2 linked regions of the Oryzias latipes genome follow. The protein of the gene in region 1 interacts with the protein of each later gene in a pairwise test. Links are inferred from orthologs where the notes say so. Each region holds a gene or a part of one and is shown on either strand. Other genes may lie near its edges.

What was found. The genes of interacting proteins can lie anywhere in the genome.
Region 2: the proteins of ntrk1 (region 1) and sh2b1 interact in a two-hybrid assay, tested with the Homo sapiens proteins (2 studies listed by BioGRID). The link is inferred for Oryzias latipes from reciprocal best matches to the Homo sapiens genes NTRK1 and SH2B1.

What each region holds. Positions count from the first base shown.
Region 1 is NC_019874.2:29,037,225-29,046,909, forward strand, and holds the end of ntrk1 (high affinity nerve growth factor receptor), read right to left. Parts: intron 8,664-9,685; coding exon 8,423-8,663; intron 8,311-8,422; coding exon 8,152-8,310; intron 3,538-8,151; coding exon 3,352-3,537; 3' UTR 3,258-3,351; downstream 1-3,257. Other genes in the region: membrane progestin receptor delta, read left to right, coding at 451-716. UniProt on the Homo sapiens protein: Receptor tyrosine kinase involved in the development and the maturation of the central and peripheral nervous systems through regulation of proliferation, differentiation and survival of sympathetic and nervous neurons.
Region 2 is NC_019866.2:699,623-710,483, forward strand, and holds sh2b1 (SH2B adapter protein 1), read right to left. Parts: upstream 9,694-10,861; 5' UTR 9,515-9,693; intron 8,408-9,514; exon of another isoform or gene 8,179-8,407; intron 7,733-8,178; 5' UTR 7,449-7,732; coding exon 5,832-7,448; intron 5,762-5,831; coding exon 5,660-5,761; intron 5,475-5,659; coding exon 5,383-5,474; intron 5,303-5,382; coding exon 5,220-5,302; intron 5,152-5,219; coding exon 4,996-5,151; intron 4,153-4,995; coding exon 3,941-4,152; intron 3,226-3,940; coding exon 3,051-3,225; intron 2,230-3,050; coding exon of another isoform or gene 2,139-2,229; intron 1,571-2,138; coding exon 1,266-1,570; 3' UTR 1,152-1,265; intron 969-1,151; 3' UTR 60-968; downstream 1-59. UniProt on the Homo sapiens protein: Adapter protein for several members of the tyrosine kinase receptor family.

The sequences.
Region 1 (9,685 bases):
CATTTCTATTTTGTTTTGGAACCTTAACGGCAAAAGAAGAAACTCAGATGATCAAAATGAAAGTAATTTTCACAAAACCTTCATCTAATATCTAATGCCAGCTCAGTGGCCCTGTGGTTAGTGTCCACCCTGTGACTGGAAGGTTGTGGGTTCAAACCCAACCGAGTCAGACCAAAGACCCAAAGCCTCCCTGCTTGACATTCAGCATTAACGGGTTGGATTGGGGGGTTAAATCCACCGAAAATGTTCCAGAGAGCAGCTGTGTCTGCAGCTCCCCGCTCCCCCAGGGGGTCAAAGATAGTGTGATTTAATTTAATAATCTAAATTTTAAAAAAAAATTGACGTAATCTTTATTTATAATAATAGCGGAAATTGCTGATGCCTTCTGGGAAATGGAGTTTTCTGGTATGTCCTGTTGCTTGACTTGTTGTGTGGCGATGGCTCTTTCAGGCCACAGTCACCAGCTCTTCCACGTCAGCGCCGTGGTGGGAACTCACTTCCAGATGGAGGGTGTCCTCGCCGACATGTCGTCGCGGCGCCAGTGGCTGCAGACCCACGGCTTGGCGCCGTCCTTCCTTAGCACCTTCGGCGCCCTCGTCCTCAGCTTTGTCCTTAACCTGGGCATCATCGCCGTGTTCAGCGCGCTCCTGCTGTGGAAGCCCCGCCCCAGCTGCGGCCAGCAGCACGCCCCCACCTGCGGGTGCAAGGAGCAGTGAGGGCGGGGCTTCCCACAAAGCAGCTTCCTTACATTCCAAAGGAGGTCCCGGCCGGCGGTGTTCCCGCTCCACAGACTGACGTTTCCCTGTGTTTGTGTCCGGTCAGAAGCCGATGACCCGTCTGCGGGTCGAAGGACGCTGCTGCCGGGTTTGCAGAAACTCCGTCTCTCCTCACCCTTTATAATCTAATGCAGATTGGATCTACGGCGCTCCAGCCCGGCGTTGATTGTCAGACGCTTCCATTTCTGATTGCCTCCTTGTCATGATCTGCCCTCGGAGACGTCCAGCGAGGCGGTGATTAAAGGACAGGCACCACTTTTTGAACACAGCGTTCCCCGTTCTTCTGAGCTCACACGGAAATCTGCCAAAAGCTAAAAAAAAAAAAAAAAAAAAACCTGGCGTGGCGTTTCTGTCCAAAACTGTGATTGACTTTTGATAGAAGGCTGAATAACTTCAGACCTTTCTGTGGTGCTTCGGGTCTCTAACCAACATTAACAACTCATTTCTACGTTTACATTTCACAATAAAAGAAGTCAGACATTTTATATTTATTGCTGCTTCTAAATAACTCAGTGAAAATCTCACAAACTCATCCTAAAAGCTATTTTTGATCATAATTAAAATCTTTAAAAAAAAAGGGGGGAAAGCAAAATATTTACTTTAAAACTTTAAATTCAAGTCAAAGTGTTTGGGGAAAAACTTGGGAATTTTAATTTAAATGTAGATCATTTAAATTCAGATGAACCTTCACTTGTGTTTGGTGAAAGCTCAATATCAAAGTGGCTCCATTGGATGCCGTTGTCACTTTTTCAGGCCAGTGACAGAAAAACGTCGGTGTTTGAGGTTCGTACCAAACACAAACTGTTCCAAACGGCACAAAACGGTCTCAGTAACCAGCTGCTAACACACACTAACTAGCTCTCCACAGCCGGTCAGGACGGAGGTTTGCTCGGAGGGAAAAGCAGGTGGTCTGGTGGGAATGGAGCTTTGGAAAGTGTAGAATCCCAGGGGAACTTTCCTTTAGCAGCATTTGCCTTCACTTGCTCCAGAGTCTCTTGGTTTCTGAGCAGAATTTTCACCAAAATATCCAAACAAAAAGAATCCTGACACTGAATCGTGGAAAGACCTGTGGTAATCTGTGGATTTGACGGCGTTTGGAGATGTGTCCGAGGGAAGGCGGGAGGTTGGAAAAACATGTTGTGCCTTTTTTATGGTGTTTTTTTTTACAACTTGTCTCTGATTTAATGTTAAAAGAAACTCTACAAACATATATCTGATCTTTGTGTAAATTGTAATTTGCTTTAAAAGGCTTGTGTAATTAAACTGAAGCTTTTATCAATGCAGTTACATGGTGAATCTTTTCAGAGGTGTTTTTATCCTGCAGAGTTTAATTTTAAAAATGACTTTAACGGAAAAGATGAATTTTAAACTGTTGCTTGAATTTGCTTTGTATTTTTTTAAAATCACATTTTAATCAGCTGCAGAATGGGGTGCAGTGCACGAGGGTGGCCAGCAGAGGGCAGCACAGGGAGAATTGTGTCAGAAACTCCTCAGATGAGCTTCAGCTCGTCAACAAATGAGCTGCAGCTCATCTGAACAGGAGAATAAGGCCAAATGAATCACCGTCTAATATTTTCCTGGGCAAAAGTCCTCCCTGATTCACACAAATCCCTGCATTCGTTCACGTTTCTGGAGTCTGCCTGATGCTGAAGTTTGTTTTTTTAAAACCCCCTTTTTTTCTGCTCTGACTCATTAGGTTTTTTTCTTTCACCTCTAAAGCCTCTCAGGCAGAGCAGAGTGGTTTATTATTAGCAGCAGGCTCAGACCACAATGAATCGGCTCTGGCATTTTCATAAAAGAAATAATTATCGGGAGAAATCAATATCCCGTGTGCGTACATTATAAGATGAGGTGGAGGACTGAAAAGGAAAGTTTCCCGCTGCAAAGCTCTAATAGGACCTTCATTTTTAAAAAATGGCCTCATTTCCAGCTCTTATTGTCCTCGCATTTCAAACCCAGCCGGGGTTGGGCCTCGAGTGCTTTTTAAGAAGCTCCATTCTGAAACCACAAAGGCTGCGGGGACAAACACTGATCCGATCCGTCCTCAATCTGCTTGTAAGACGCCACAAGACAGTCCTCCAACACCCCCCCCCCCCCTCTCTCCCTCCCTCCTGCATCCTTCAGTCCAGAGGAGGTGCATAAGGAGAAGAGGGAGCATAGATCACACTGGAAAAACTGCACAGTGATGCATCGATTCCATTTTTAAACCTGTTTTGTTTATTCCTTTAAGGGCAAACGATTTACAAAGAGATACAGGTTTTAGAAGCCCCCCCCCCGTCTGTACATCCACTATTTACATGGGTGGCAACCCCCCCCCCCCCCCCCCCACACACACACAACTTCCCCAGGCGTACAGTTACAGAGACATCTGCCCCTCTCCTTCTGAATCCATCTGTTCCCCTAAACCGCACATCCCATAATTCCCTCAGGTTTTCTTCCTGAAAACAAATTTTTTCCTCTTTTTTTTTTTCTTTTTTCTTTAAAAATAACCATAGCCCCCCTCCCGTCCCCCCCCCCCCCCCCCCCCCCTGGCACAGAAACCAACAGACACTCAGGTGAACATGTGAACTGCCCCTCAGCCCAGGATGTCCAGGTAAACTGGGGGGGTTCTGACCAGAGCCAGCAGGCGGCTGTGGATCTCCTTGATGACCGTCCTCTGCTGGGGCTCCCTCTGCCAGCAGCCCTGCATCAGCTGGTACACCTCCTTAGGACAGGTGCGCGGCCTCTCCAGCTCCCGCCCCTGCGTGATGCATTCAATGGCCTGTCGGAGAGGAGGAATCCGATTACTTCAGGATGGAGAGAACCCACCTTTCTCTGGAAGGGACGGTTCAGACTCTCTCAAAAGAGAGAACGAAAGCGGCTACGATGTGTCTGCGAAGGTGAGGAAATCTGATTACATCTCCCCCAGTCTGTAATTGCATCACTTTAGTGAATGTCAACACACCAAGAGTCTGAGCGTGCAGCAGTTTAGTGATGTAAGTAGAAGAAGTCGACGAATCCAGAACAGTTTTGTAAAAACGGTCACTAACAACTCAGTTACCCTGCTTAAAGATCCGCTTTGTTGATCAAACATCCCAGTGTTTACTTTTGTTTTATTATAAGGATGCTGCTGTTAGCTAAATTGAGCAAGACCTGAGTCGTGTTCTAGGACATAGTTTCTGCAGGAGTTCATGAGAAATTCACCTCTGAGTTGTGGGCGGGGCCGTTGGCGTGGAGTAACCCTGACCTAACATTAGATTGCAGCAAAACAAAGACGTTCATGGATCTGTTTGTCTACGATGCATCAGAACGGGGCGGAGCAGGAGGCTCGTGGTCCGGCCAGCATCATTTCTGCGATCATTTTCCAAATGCATGGTTTCGTCTTCTCTGTGCAGAAAAAGGCTCTGTGCCTTTTATGATAAAAAAAATAAATAATCCAGGACTAAAATGATGCGCTTCTGTTCTATGTTCCAATTATGAGATTAATTTCAGCATCACACTGGAAACGGCAGAAAAGAAATGTTTCAGCGTATCTGTCTGGTTACTGAAAGAAAAGCTCACAGTGGTCAAAGAAATAGCTTGAAACAAACAAAAGTAATAATAAATACAAATTCTTTATATTTGTTTAGTTTTTCTTTAGTTAGTTGAAGGGGGGCCAATAATTTACTGTCCACGTGTCTTAAGATTTCTATCAGAAGTCTCACTAAATACTCATTTGTTAAAAAACAACAAATGTCTCTATTTTCTGCTTTTTTTCCATGTCAGTGACATTTTATCTTGATTCTGTGAATCCACCGTTTTACTCCAGTGTCTAAAAACTTCAGAATTTGTCTGATTCTGCTTTAGATTCTAATCTAAACTTTAGTAACTGATGTACTGCTTTCTTCTATTCTGGTAAAATGACTTCGAAGTAGATCTTTTTTTTCCGACAGATCTGAAGTAGATCTGTCGGAAGTGGAGCAGACTCTTTAGAGGAGGCCGCGACCTCTGACCTCTGCCTCCTTCAGCTGCCGTTTGGATGTGAAGATCACTGACGTTCAGCTTTCAGTCCAGAAGAAAATCCATCTACCTTTTGTCTCGTGATCAATCAACACGATCAGCAGATCAGATTGAGTCATTTTAGAGAGTAAATCTGTGATTCTAGCATAACACAGACGACTGGTGAAGCATTGTGGGTAGTGGGGCTGTTTTCGTGTCCATTTCTGGATTTTTTTCTTTAACTTTTTTATTCTAAGAGATCAGAATCTGCAGAGACCAGCAGGATTAACCATATAATCACATTTTCATTTGTTTTTAGATGACTGTTCTTTATTTAAATGTGAAATGTTTGTGCATCTAACAAAACAAATTACTCAGTTTATAGCAAGTAGATGTATAAGGGAATTGATAGCTAGAATGAAATTATTTTAGGTTTACCAAAAAACAAAAGTCTGATTGTTTTTTAATCGTTTTGTCTTCCTATCACGTCTCTCGCCTGAGCCTGAAGTTTTTCTGAAGAAGCCGAGAATATTTAAAATTAAATTGAACTCTTTATGTTGTAAATCCTACAATTTATGGAAGCGATTCTGTGGCATAATTAAAAAATAAAAGTCAAAACCAGAAATGCTTTTTCATTTTCAACATGAAGCTGCATTTTTTGAATCAAAATTCAAATGAAAAAGCAATCCACCAAAATGCTTTTTCATTTCCTTCCTCAACACCTCTTATTCTGTCACTTAATTAAAAAGATAAAGAAAATGGTATTTGACATTTCATTTTCAAAAAGTTCTCTGGTAAATGTGTAGCAAAATTCATTTAGAAATGTCTAATTGACAATTAAAATGGATTAACAGAAATGCTTTTTCATTTTCAAAATGTAACTGCATCAAATGGCTCAAAATTAAAATGAAAAATCAACGCTTCAAAATGCTTTTTGAAAATGAAATGTCAAATACCATTTTCTTTATCTTTTTCATTTAGTGACTTCAAGAAGTCCCAGAAGAAGTGGAACATTTTCGTTAAATTTACTGAAGTTCAGTAACAGAAACTTTGATTAGATGGAGGGACAGACTCACGGCAGAAAACTGTGATGCTTTTTTTCTTCAAAATATTTAAGGAAAGCCTAAAGTTTCCTAAAAAAAACACACAGATGAGATGCTGGAAGCACAAAAACTGATCTAAAATGAATGAAAACCCATTTTTCTTGAAATGAAAAACAGAACTTCTGCACTTTTCAAGCTGTTTTCTGATGTTTCGGAGCTCAGTGGGACGTCAAGGATTCGAACAGTTTCCTCTTTTCGCGTTGGTGTTCGTTGACCTGCTGGGGAGACTCCGATCAAAGGATTTGCTTCACACGAGCCGTCTCGCTTATTTATGATAATTTATCTGCTTCACAGAGTATTTAGGCAGCACGATCGTTTCACCTGCCCCGCATTGGGTTAGACAGATTAGGGTAACAAGGTTACACCTCATTGGCTCGAAGCTAAAAAGAAGCTAAGCAGCTTAGCATCGAGCGCAGCAGGAAAGTGATCCACCCTCCGCTGAAAGGCAGAGAGGCCGGCGGCCTGGAAGAGCTCTGCTGCGGTCACAGTGGAGACCCTCTTCTTGGTGCTTAAGCTGGAAAGGCCAGACTGGCCTGCCCTTATTTACTATCAGCGTATTGATTACTGACAGAGTGCGGAAGATCTACGACCTCACAGAGAGGATGTGCGAGCGTGGAGGTGGTTCAGGCTGGAGCAAAAACAAAAAAACAACATGTTTAATGTTTTTTGCTCATCATGAAACTTTAAAAAAAAAATATTTTCTCAACTTTGAATTTGCCCCGAATTCTTTTTCTGAAATTCTGTGAAAAGTTGTTTTTTTCGTTCCAACCTCACTTATTTTCTTGCAAGTGAACCCTGGTGTGGATCAGTGTTGGTGTGTGAACAAGAAAACCAAACATTGAATTTTGTGTGAATCAGGAAGAGACTAGCTGTTGTATTACCTGATTTGTACAACGCTGTGACAACTTCCCATCTTTAGCAAACCTTTTTTTTTTTTTTGGTCCATGGCAAAGGTGGATAGAGGTGGAGAGGATTTCATGGAGTCCATGGACACCAGTGAAAATCAAAAATCACTTAAGAAAAAAGGTTCAGCGCTCTGTCTTGGGGGGGTCCAGATGACCCCACTCCCAATGTTAAAACAAGATGGCACAAGTGTGAAAGGTTCAAAGAGAAAAAGCTGCTTCAGCTTTTGTTACCCAGAAACTGAGACTTTAGAAGGATTTTTCTGCTGAAACTGTGTGAGGAGTTCCCATGGTGATGCACTGCTTTGAAACAAAAGTCTACTCCTTCACCAGGCGTGTGATGCATGATACCCATTTTCTTTACGTTGCAGGTAAGCCAAAGGAATGTGATGGTAATCTGCTCAATAATCTCACCAAATCTACTAAATGAACCACTTTAGTTTTGAAACAAAGGCTTTTTCTTGTAAATATATTCATTGATTTTTTTTTTATTTTTTTTTTTATGGTGGCTCTAATACTCGGTCGTAAACCTTACTCCAGCTGCTGCCGGACCAGGAACAGATGTGCGGAGGGTTTTTGTTAACCCAATTTATAAGAGAGAAAAATAATGTGGAATTTGGATGAAAATATTTGTCTATTTTTTTTATGTAGGATTTATTTGGAAATATTTCAAATAAGCAAAAACAAACAATTCAAAACCACAATTACAAAAAAACAAGAAAGACATAAACAAATAAAATAATTATACAAACAATATACTGTGCTACCAATCTATGACCAGCAAAGGCATTAAACACGTCAGACCTGTTAATTTATTTGAGAGTTCACGGGTCATTTCTAAGGTCAAGGCCATGACATGTTCTAAGAAAGTTGACCAAATTTCAGAAAATTTAGATCCAGAGCCCCTATATATGTTGATTCTGATTAACAATGTGATGTATACATTTTAAAACAGAGTTTTTATTTAAAAACTGTTTCTTTTGTTCTCATTTTAGAACCAATTGTCTCGATGGGTTCGTGTCCCTCATGGACAAACCCACATTTTGAGAAATGCTGCATTTAGGTGGTGTTGAAATGATTGGGAAAAAAATTGTACAGCTCCGAAAACACACATGAATGTTAAATAGCTTTCTGTAGTTCAGCAAAGGTCAACTTATTTGTAATGTACCACCTGTGAGGAGCCACTATCATCAATATAATTTATTCCAGCTTGGTGGGCCAGATTAAATAGTTTAATGGGCCCCCGGGTCGTAGTTTGCCCACCCCTGAGCTAGCGCCCCATGGTGGCAACAAACCGACGAAGCTCTAAAAAGTGCAGCGCCCTCTGCTGGTCGAGTCTGCTTTGAGATGAACTTAAAGGTTCAATATAAAGGTTTGTTTCGATTGGCAGTAAAAGCGCAGCACCAAACTCACCTCACTGTTGGACAGCTGATACCAGGGCTGCTTTCCGTAGGTGAAGATCTCCCAGAGAACCACGCCAAAGCTCCAGATGTCGCTCTCCGTGGTGAACTTCCTGTACATGATGCTCTCCGGGGGCATCCAGCGGATCGGCAGCATGGTACGCCCGCCCACCTGGGGAGATGCACATGAATTACTGTGTTAGAAATCATTTCCTGTATGTATTGAACTGTGGTTGTAAACGTAGCAGATTGGCTCTACTTTTGGGGTGTTGCTTTGAACTCACCCTGTAGTAATCTGTGCTGTAGATGTCCCGGGACATCCCAAAGTCTCCTATCTTTACCACCAAGCCCTCCCCAACCAGGCAGTTACGGGTCGCCAGGTCACGATGGACGAAGTGCAGAGATGCCAGGTACACCATGCCCGAGGCGATCTGCGCAGCGATCTGTAGCATCTGGGGTAGGGTCAGTTGACCCAACGGGGGCATCTTGGACTCCTCCAGGATACGAGCGTCTGGGCCGTGAGCTCTGATGGAGACACGCCAAAAGAAGGGTCTTAAAGCACAGATGGAAGGTGAAACTAATGAAGTCTGAGGAAGATTGGTGATGAAGATGCAGATTTCAGCTCTGAGTTCTTTCATTTTATCTCCACAGTTGGAGGAAAAGGCAAAAAGTCCAAAAGATGTTTCACTTTATGAGCTCTAAGCTGGGCTCCTCACTTGTTCTCTGAAGAAAAATCAAAGCAGCGGAACTCTGGTCTTTGTGATCCACCTGCTCGTTTTTCCATTTTCAATCAGGTGAGTTCCTCAGAATCCCCTGATCCAGCTGATCCAGCAGCATGAAGTTTAGGAAAAACTGCGCGGTGGATGTCCACGACCAGAGCGGGGCAGCCCTGTTTTAAGGAATGAAAAATGTCTAAGATGATATTGCTTTGGGATGTTTGAACATCAGGGGGTCACTTGGTTGCCAGGTCTGAAAGCCCATTTGTTGGGGACCACACAAGAGAATGCTGGTTCTACTGATAAACCAGGGTCCTGTCTGACTTGCAAGTGAACTCTAATGCAGTTCAGTGACAGTGTGAATGCCCCAGGACTGTACGGAACTGGAGCGAGTGAGTGAGACGTCACCCACAGAAAATGGTTTACTTCCGGCTCCAATGAACCAAAGTGTATTCAGTCGCACCTTATTTGCCATTGGTATGTTGCCACGTTGTAGACAAATGTCAAAAGTAAGCAGTGATTAGTCCAAGTTGGTCTGAGCCAACGTTTCTATGGCAACCCCTCTCTACAATCAGGAGTGAGCTTGTTGGAAATCTGTCAAACGTTCTTAACGTTGGACGTGGCCAACACCTACGTTTTTACTGAGGTATCAGTTTATAAGTGGAATAATTTGAACTACAGAAGAAAATATGGAAAAAAAATAGAATCATCAAGAACATGTTAAAAAAGGGCATCAGATCAAGAATGGTTAGTCTGACCAATAGGATCACTGAGTAGTTAATAGCTTTTTATGTATCTATTGACGTCAATGGGATTTGGGCTTCTTGAAGC
Region 2 (10,861 bases), on another chromosome or scaffold:
CTGGATCCTCCAGGCTCCGCCTCCAGGCTCGTGCAGAACAAAGGAGGCAGCACAGCAGCTTCCATGTTTCACTATATTTATATTATATCATTAAATTCAATGTAGTACCTGAAACTAACACACGGGGGGGCAGACAGCTGTGCCCCCCCCACACGGTCCCAGCAAGAGAGAAGAGAGCGAAAGGCACGAAGAGTTAAACAGGACAGGGGGGGGGGGCAGCACGACAGACAGAGAAAGGCACAAATACAAAGGTCACCTGGAAACAGACTGGGGGGGGGGGGGGGTTCCCCCCCAAACAAAACGAAAAGAAAAGGCACAGAAGCATGAGAACTGAACGATGGTATGAGAGCAGAACCAGAACCTCCATCCGGACCACCGGAACCATCCAGAGGAGAATGCAGCGCCACGCCCAGATCGCCAACCGTCTACAGCAGGTTCCATCAGCGTTGGGTTCCACAACGGGACCATCGTCCCGGATCTTCTCTGGCTCAACCGCCGTCGGGCTTCAAACATCTTGGTTCTAGCCTGTCTTTAGAGGTCAAAGGTCACTGGACCCGTCTCAAACACTCTGCAGGAAACCCGCCTGCTCCACCTGGATCAGGGGGGTGGGGGGGGTCCCGATCAGGTGGTCTGCAGGATGGGGGACCTCAGGGAGCGCGGTTGTGCTCCCTTCAGTTTGGCGTTCTGGATGGTCTGGAGCTGCAGCCGCAGGCGGCAGACAGGTGAGTCCGTGCTGCGCCGGGGGGGGGGGGTCTACCCCCGTGGCAGAAATGTCTGCAGACCGTGGTTGCTGTGAGGTATGGGGGTCCGCCAGCCCCTCAGGGGGAGCCGGCTTTGAGGCGCACCGGCAAAAACAAGCTTATCTGGCTAAAAGATTAAAGAAATGTACGGATAGTTAAAGTGGTGAAGCTGCTCCTGTCTGCTCCTCCTTCCCTCATAGTGTTAGTACTTTACTCCTCCTCCTCCTCCTCCTCCTCCTCCTCCTCCTCCTCCTCCTCCTCCTCCTCCTCCTCCTCCTCCTCCTCCTCCTCCTCCTCCTCCTCCTCCTCCTCCTCCTCCTCCTCCTCCTCCTCCTCCTCCTCCTCCTCCTCCTCCTCCTCCTCCTCCTCCTCCTCCTCCTCCTCCTCCTCCTCCTCCTCCTCCTCCTCCTCCTGCACCGAGCTAAATAAAAATACTGGTTACAAATGGCTATGATGTACGACGCCTCATCCACGCTCGCTCAGTCGCATGCACACAAACAAACGTGCTCCTCCTCCATCCCAGCATCAGAAGAAGGAGTACTGGTTATCAATGGCTCTAGGAGCCCGCGCGCCGTCCCTCTCCTCCCCCTCCACAGCTTCTAGTTGGCGGAGGGGCGTGTCTCTTTCTCTCTCCTCCCACTCGTCTGATCCTCCCCCACTTCCTCCTCCGCTGCCTCCACTTCCTCCTCCTGTGGCTGCTACTGTCCCTGCAGGCACTGCTCCTCCTGCCAGCTCTAGTTCTCCTCTCTCCTGGGGCGGAGTCGGTGGCGGCGGCCGGCCCGGCGGTAGCGTAGGAGGCTGGGGGGGGCTACGGGGTCTGCTGGTCAAGTCTGCCAGGAGAGAGAAAGGAGGCGTGAGAGGGAGAAAAGAGAAGGAGGACAGGAGCATGGAGTCAGACGCCTCCTCAAAGCGCTTTTCTCCCAGATCACTTACAGCAGAACTCTGAGGTTCTGGTTCTGGTCTGATCCAGAACCAAAGGGAGGAGATGCTGTGAACTCCATGTGTGTGCAGGAGGCACATGTAGATAAAGCGAGAGAGAAGCGAGGAGTAACGACCAGGAGGCGGAGACAGAGTCCTCCTCCTCACCAGAGGAGTCCAGATTTCACAGAGAGGAGGACTGAAGCTCCGCCCACTACCAGGAGACGAGGGGGAGCCGCATCTACTAGAGATTCTACGCACAGACGTGGAGCAAGGACCGACAGGAAACAGCTGATGTCCTCAGAGATGGCTCCGCCCCCTTGATTAGAGATGTAGATCTGGACCAACTAGATCTGACCCGGTTCCAGTCTATGATCTACTACTCCAGAAGTCAACCAGTAACATTCAATCTGATTGGCTCTGAGGAGTCATGTGACCCAGAATGTTCAGTCAGCCACACACGCGTCCGGTCTCACTTACACACAGTCAGAGATGGGGGTTGATGGAGAGTCGGGATGGCGCGTGGTGATGACATCACAGACTGTAGGCCGGCTGCCCGCCCTGTCCCGGCCTGTAAGGACGAGCCAATGATACAACAAGGAGAGGTCAGAACGGCCGCGGCAGCACGGAAACGGCGCCGGTTCTGCAGCCGCCGTGTCCATGCCGGTCGGAACACAATCAGGAAAATGAGGAGTGTGATGATGATGATGAGGACATTATGGGCTGCATGCAAATGCTACACATCAATCCCAAACACGCTGCAAAGGTTCTGATCCGCCTCGATGCTTCCAGTGACAGCAGAACCGATGCACAGCAGTCAACACAACCCACAGGCGGCGGGTCCGGTCCGACTCGCCACTGTGGGTCTGCCTGAAACACAGTTTTGGGCCAACAGTCCTTTGACCCTTGCCAGCTCACCAGGAACAGGAATAGAGGTGACGACACCCCAGCCCCCCTCGCCGTTGCTTCCTGATACGGGCGCCGCCCAGTTGCAACTAGTCGAGTGACTGATTTCAACACGGCGCCACCCGTATCAGGAAACAACGGCACTTCCTGTTTAGGAGCAGGGAGGGGTCGGGCTGAAGGTGTTCCTAATGATTTCTCCTCACAAAGGATCAGGACAGGCCCGCTTCCGGCGCCGTCAGAGGGTCACGTGACTGTGTGGTCACTAAAGCGTGTGTAAACGGACATGAATGAAGATTCCAACATTGGTGTTTACACGCACCGCAGTGAACTGGTCTCATAAGGAAACTGGTACAGAGTTTCCTCCGGGACGCCACACGCTTGAACACGGTCGACCGCCGACACCACCTGGTTCCTGGACCGGCCCGGGCAGCACGGGTCCAGACCTTCAAAGAGTTTCTGTGGGCCCTACGGCGCCGTCACACATACCTGGCTGGCGCATGGCGGTAGCACCGACGAAGCTGATGAGGGTGACGTCAGAGGCCCCCCCCGACTCCAGCGGGATGGGATGCACCCGGAAGTGCTCCAGCATGTCGAAGATGGACTGGAACCAGAGGTGCTGCACGCGGCACTGCCCGTCCTCGTTCAGGGACAGGCGGAGGTGCTGCAGGAGGCGGGAGAACCGCAGGTGAGAACAGAGCTTCTGCAGAACCGCAGGCCCAGCTGGAGAGGAGACGTTCCTGCAGGACTGCTGTTCAGCTGAAGGCACATCTCTGATTCATGTTGGAAACATTTGTGCTACAATCATCAGGCTGAGCAGGAATCAAACCTGCAGATCAGAGGTCGAACGCTCTGCTTAATTATCCTACAGAAATTATCTCTGATGCATGCGCGGTTTTCATAAAAGTACAAGGAAAATGTATCCGTGTTTGCAGGGAAGGCGGGGCCAACCTCGACCACCGAGGGTCGAAGGCGGGGCCAACCTCGACCACCGAGGGTCGAAGGCGGGGCCAACCTCGACCACCGAGGGTCGAAGGCGGGGCTTGACCAGCTCCACCCGCCCACCGCAGGAACACCCATGGAGCTCCTTCAGGACTGGCGGAGGACATGGAGCGTCGTTTTAAGGCTGTAGTATCTGTGCTGCCGCCAGCAAATCTAAAATCTAACAGGATTCAGAGAAAAGCGGCTTCTATCTGCGTCAGAATCCGTTGGAGTCACGTTGACAGATTCACGGTCATTCAAAGAATGTCCAGACTGGATGTAAACTTTCGAGGTTCAGGAGTTGATGATGGCAAAAGGATTCACTAGAACTGTTTTAAATAAAGGTTTGCTGATTGAATCTGGCCGCTGTGATTCTTCCTGTCTACACCTGCACTCACCTTGGCCTTGCCCTGGAAGTTAAAGGTCAGGACGTACTCCCCGCGCCGCGTCTCGCTCTGGCGGACCAGGAAGACGCCGTGGCTCGCCGGGCCTCCTGCCAGCACCAGCTGGGCGGCTTTGAGGCGCGACAGCGTCCCGTGGAACCACTGACACTCGCTGAGCGGGTGCTCCACCGCCTCTGCGGGCGCCACATCAGAGAAGAGGAACGACCCTGGAGGTCACAGAGGAAGAGACGCCGCCATCAGCTGCTGCTTCTACAATCAGAACTGGCTTTAAACGGACCAATCAGATTCCTCGAAAAAAGTAGGTGGAGCCTGCTGGCCCCCACAACATTAAAAACTTTTACTGACAGGCCCTCCAGCAAAGGCCACACCCCTTGCTGGAGGGCTTTCCAACAAGCTCACGCCTGATTGGCCAGAGTGGTTGCCATAGAAACGTTTGAGACCAGCCTCGATTGCATCAGAAGCATAATTAACAGCTTCAATGCACATTTGACGTTTTCAGGGTTGATCCTAAGTGGGGGCGGGGCTTTAAGTCCATCGGCCAGCGGGACGTGATTGACGTACCAAACTGAGAAAATATCACTGCTGACGCCAACAACAGACGCCTTTCTGGAGCGGAAATGACCTCTGATGTCAATCAGCCAATGGACTCAAAGCTCCGCCCCCACTAAAGCTCAACTACAAAAACACAAAGTTCTGAATAGAAACTGTAAATTAAGAAATGAAAAAATAGAAAACAGCAGCTGTTACAGAAAAGGTTTTAGCTTCATAGATTCTTACATTCCTGGAGTTTTCTTTCTAATTTTAGTGCCAGTATTTCAAGAGCAACAACCAAAAGACAATTAAAGGAGCAAATAGAACTATTTAGAGCCACAAAAACCGGCCAATCACAGACATGGATGCTGATTGGTCAGAAAACCTCCAATCCGCTGCTCCGCTTCACACTTGTAAATGTGTGAACTATTGGCACAAACGTCCCTCCATAACCATCTGGTTCTTCCTTCAGGACCCTCCTGGGTCACGTTTCACAGGGGGCGGGGCATCACACTCACCTGTGGCGTCTGGCGTCTCTGCAAAAGGCGTGCCCAGGCTAGCCCCGCCTCCCCCGAGAATCCTGCCATCCGGTTCGTCCAGAGGGGCTCGAGGCGGCAGCTCTGGCGGGAGGGGGTCCATGAGCGGCAGGAAGCCCCCGATGCCCCCGTAACAGACTGGGGAGGGAGGAGGCGGTGAACGTGCTGCAGAGGAAACATGCAACACCCTTTACCGCCAAACTCACTTTGTGAGAGACGCTCGCCAGCCTCCGGCGTCCCGCTGATGTCCAGCGGCCCCCGGCAGCCCCCCTCTGCGTCTTCCTGTTCACTGTGGCGGACAGGAAGCAGGGAAAGACTTCAGAACCGACGGTTCTGGAAGAAGAGCGGATCTGCAGAAAACATGAGTACCTGATGCAGATGGCGTTCCTGATGTCACTAAGCCACGCCCTCATCTGAATGGCGTCTCGGGTTTCGATCACGTACTGCGTTGAGCCCTCCAGCTGGAAAAAGACGACGGCGAGCAGAAACACAAACGTTTTCACATCAAAGACCAACGTTCAGGTTGGATCTTTTTTGGGAAATAAAGATGAAACTTTTGATCTGCTGGTTTGTGGTCGATGCGTCCGTCACCGACAGACGCCGCGCCGGCATCGACCCGCTTGGACCTGAGCGGAATCCGACTCACCTGCAGCAGGAAAGTGTTCTCCTTGTCCGGGACCTCCAGCGCCGTGGTGCTCCTCACCTCCGTGATGGAGCAGCAGTGGACGGTCAGCCGGGGCTTTGAGGCCTGGGGAGTCAGACGTGGGCGGAGTCAGAGCAGAAGCCATCGAGTTCCGTTCGCTCTGACGAGAACTTACTTTAGGAGGGATGAAGAACTCCAGGTAGTACTCCTCTCCCCGCTCTCCCCCCTCCCTGTCCCTCGCTCTGAGGACGAGGCGACATTTATGCCAGCGCCCCCCGCTCCAGGGCACGTTCCCCCCGCTGGCGAGGAGCGGCGCCTGACTTCCTTGGCTAGCGGCGGTCGGCGACGTTGCCACGCTGTTGCTGTCCGTGCCGTGGTGCAGGAGGCCAAAGGAGAAGCCGGAGAAGGCGTGGCTTCCTCCCAGCTCCTCGCTGGAGGAGCTGACACTGACTCCGCCTTCCCGCATCAGCCGGCCCACCTTCCTCTGAGGACCCGCAGCGGCGGCGCTGCTGGGGGGCAGCATGGAGGAGGGGTTGGAGCCGGCGGGGGGTGGCAGGAGGACGGGAGGGGGGGACCGGGACAGCCGCAGTTTCTCCAGACGATGGCTCCACTTGTCCTTCTCCCCCCCCTCACCGTTGCTCCGCCGGCGGTCCCGGGCGGCGTCCGACAGAGACAGCGAGGTGGCGCTGCTGGAGGAGGATGGGGGCAGTGAGGATGAGGAGGAGTGAGGAAGAGAGAGAGGCATGGAGAGGGACACCGGCATGGAGGAGGTGGGGGTGGGGGGCTGCGTGGCGGAGGTCCTTTTGGTGGTGGGACCCAGGCCGGCGTCCTGCACCCCCATGGTGTAGCTGTAGCTGGGGGAGAGCTGGTTCTGACCCGAGTCGCTGGAGGAGCTCCTCCAGTGCAGGATGCCGCGCACGCTCCCGCGCACGCTGCGGCCCACGCTGCGCAGGGAGAAGCGCTTCTTCAGTTTGTTTTTGGAGGAGATGGGGGTCTCTTTACACGAAACCGCGGAGGGGGAGGGGTCCTGAGGAAAGGGGTCGGCCTCCCCGGACTCCTGAGGCTCCTCCCCGATGGAGGCCACACCGGGCCAGCTGTCCTCGTCGGGCCCCTCCCCGTTCCCGGGGCTGAACGTGACGCCCCTCTCCTCCCGTCGCCCGTTGTTGCCCCCCACCGAGGAGCAGCACGACGAGGACGACGATGGGGGGAGGGCCTGTCCGTGGGAGTCCTGGAACTTGTCCCCGCCGCGGTTCTCCAGAACCAGCCGTGCCGGTTCGGGTCGGGATGAGGCCTGGGGCGGGGTGGCCCCCGCCGCTGCAGATAAAGGCGAAACCTCCTCCTCTTCCAGCGAGGTGGCGTCCGACGGGGGGGCCCAGCTCACCATGTCGTTGCGGCTGGGCGGCGGCCCCCCCTCCAGCTCGCTCTGGAAGTGGCGCACAAAGCGGTCGGTGAAGCGGCGGCAGAAGGCGGCGGCCGAGTCGGTGCTGTAGTGGGGGTTCTCCAGGAGGAACGCCCGGAAATGGCGAGCAAAGTCCCCCGCCGCAACTCGCGCATGGAGCTCACAGAACTCGGTCCAGCTGAGGGAGGGGGACGGGGACGGTGTGGGGGTGTCCGAAAGGGAGGAGGGGTGAGTCTGGGATGGAGGGCTCACGAGAGGTGGGAGAGGGGGGGGGCGGGGGGATAGCGGCAGCAAAGACGGCGACGGGGGGGACGGAGACGGGGAAGGCGAGGGCGGTAAAGGGGAGGAGTTTGTAGCCCTCGGGCTGGGGGGGGTCAAAAGAGAACCGTTCATCTCTAGGCCGGCCAGCTGAGCTGCACTTCAATCACAAATAAAGGGGGCGTGGCAACGAACGGCGGCAAACACAGAACGCCTAAAGTCGCACGGCACCCCCGGTCTAAAACCAAGACGAGGGGCGGACCCCCACAGGACGCGGTTGAAGGGGGCGGAGACCTGCAGCTGTCTGCTACATCCTCTGGTCCTGGAGCAGGACGGGGAAACGATGATGATGATGATGATTCACGAGGAGCGTCCCGTCTTCATCCTCTGACATGCGGCCGGAGAGGCGGAGAATCATCCTGCAGAAGAGACCAAAAGAGATTCAGAGAATCTGAAGAAATCTCTGTGTGTCGGGGACTAAACGACGCAGAAAAGTCACTGCGTTTGGGGGGGTAGATGTCCTGAAGACAACCATGTTCTCTTCTGCAGAAAAGGGGCGGGGCTAAATTCAACAACAATAGAATTGATCTGAACCAACAGAACTGGACAGATTGATAAAATCTGTTTCCTATTTGTGTTCATGAGTGATAATAATTCTAAACATTAGCTCCTCCTCCTTTCAGGTTAAACAATGACACGCTTTAAGGAAATGAATCCAGTCGGTTCCGTGTTCCGGCTGTGAACGTCAGCCCAACAGAACTCCGGACTCTCTACCTGCTCAGACAACCTGTGGACCCGCAGGTCCTGACTGAGCTGGGATGGAAGGACCGCTCTGAGAACCGCAGAGAGGAAAACACGGCTTCACCTGGAGATCAGAGACGTCTCAGAGCTGACTGCGAGCGCCGGCGAAGACCCCAGGACGCGTTCCCGCCCTCCTGCTCCTCTACCGCTGACTGCTGATGACAAGACACGAGCGATAATGCTCACCTCTCTCCACTGGAGTAAGCCTGCCCTCATTTCCCAGCATCCCTTTGTTTATCCTGTGTCTCACTAGCTTACAGCCCCTCACACCCCCATGCTAACATTAGCGGTGCTACAGAAATGGCAGCAACATGGCATCTATGCAGCCGTCCAGCTTAGATCCAGATTCCAGCTCGAGCAGGAGAACAAAGACGTTCTGGATCTGTCTGTCTGATCAGAAAGGGGCGGAGCAGGAAGCTTACGGCCCGCCCTTGTTGGTCACACACCTACAAGCTTCTTCAAACTGCTTTTTTATCAGCTCCTGATTTACTCTTTGAATAAAAAAATACTCAAACAGCTTGGAGCTTCATTTTCCTCAGACTGGGTCTATCATGGGGCAGGGGGGCAGATCTGGTCCTATTCGTACCGGGTTCCTCTAGGTTCTGTTCTTAGCCCTCTTCTCTGTCAACAGCATCATCATGACCTTCTGTCTAGGTTCTGCTGATGAGACGTCTGCTGGTTCCTGCACAGCGTGCAGCTGAGGATCAGAGGCTGACCTTCTCTGAGGACCCGTTCATGTCAGCTTCAAGAAAAGACGGAATCATTCAGGAGGAAGATCCGTTCAGCCCCGCGTGGCCCTGACCGGGTTCGATTCCTCACTACACAAGTCTATATAAATGTTTTAAAGATCAGCCGGTTCTGCAGAACTTTGAGAAACATGGAAAGCAGTTTGTTTTTTTTCAATTAGTGCGTAGAAACGCAGGATTTTGATGGTCAAACCGTTTTTCAGTCCTGATTCAGGGTCAATCAGGACTTTGCCTCCTTCCGGTCCAGTCACAGGTGTAGAGTGTGGAGCAACCAGGTGAGGGCGGTGACCTGGGGAGGTCCAGGTGAGGGCCGTGACCTGGGGAGGTCCCGCAGATCCTCGCTGCTCTGGACGCTGGAGCTCAGCTGTAGGTTCGCCGCTCACATCTTTTGCTCGTTCAGCGTCCCACAAACGTGTTAGCCTACTAAGGTTCGATCCCCATGGTCAGCTTTGACTCCCCGTCCCGAGCATCGATATCTGCCCTCCGTGACCACTCCTGTGTGTTTTTTTTCCCTCTCACCTGTCGCTCACGTGAGAACTTTTCCAATCCCGACGACAAACATTCTCCACGAGCGCAGCTAACTGTTAGCCAGCGGGCTGGTTATTAATAAACAAGCTAGTCGGCTATCGCCTTTATCGTGACGGAGAGTCGTACCTGAACACCGCGGCCCACACCTGGTCACGCGCGCCTGCAGCCCCTCAGCGCTGCCCCAACCTGCGCGGCGGGACAGACATGAAAGCAGCTGTTGTTGTTGCTAAATATCAATGTCGCCTTAGCTTCTCTGCTCCTGATCTTCTCGCACTGGCTCGAGGTCTCGCGGGATCTGCGGAGGGGTGAGCGAGTCCAAACGGCCGCTGATCAGATCAGATCAGACGACGTGAATGACGTTAAAAATGTAAAATTAAAAACGTGATGTTCTTCAGCCGAAAAGACAGATTATGGTGTACTTTAATTCAAGTACGAATTCTAAAAATGTTGCTAAAATGGAAAATAAAAGTATTTAATTTTTTTTTCTAGATGCGACTTTTTTTATTGCACAATTGCAACATACAAAACAAGAAAATACAACAATTATGCACATATGATGTACAATAGAATTCTGAATACAGAACAAACATGTTACATTCTTTAAAAAATTCTAATTATTAATAACAAACACAAGAGGGAATAAAAAATAAAATGAAATAAAAAAATAAAAAGAGAAAATGCGAGTCTATGTCAGCAGTCCAAAAGAATTACAAATGTTAATTGTTTTTTGAGCTTTTGTATTTTTTGAAGCAGAAATTAAGTTTAAATATTGCTGCAGTTCCAGTTTGAACACAAAGAAATCCGTTTTTTATTGGAAAATTTTCTTTTGTGAATATGAAATTTAGCCATAAATAATACCATGTTTACACAAAAGAAAGCATCTCGGTCTTTGACATCAAAGCTATGAAAACCAAAAAGTACATTTTTATCATAAAGTTGTATGTCAGCAAAAATAGAATCGGTGATAAATTTGTGAATGTTTTTCCAAAATCTGTATGTAAATTCACAAGACCAGAATAAATGAGAGCAGGTTTCAGGTTGTTTCTGGCAGCAAGTACAGCGCCTTAAATTTAGTCAAGTAATGCTTTGCTGGATAAAATCTGTGTAGGAGTTTAAAAGAGATTTCTTTGACTTTATTTGTTAAGAAGTATTTTTGTGGTAAAGATCAGACTTTTTCTATTCAATGTTCGAGGTGAAATTAGCCCAATAAAAGGAAGCTGATGGAACAGAAACTAAATGATCTTGGAACAAAGCTCTGATTTTTGAGTTCAACTGTTTAGCGGAAGTGAAGCAGAAACGACCAGAGGGGATTTGAACGCATCAGGAGGATGGAGAGTCAGAGGAGGAGCGCTGTAGAAACCCCTGAATAACATGCAAAGCCCAGACGGGACGGCATCAAACACTAATGCAAAGTCTTTGGGAGTTAATGGTATTTTATACTGCATTGTGAATTCTGAGTAGTTATATAATAAT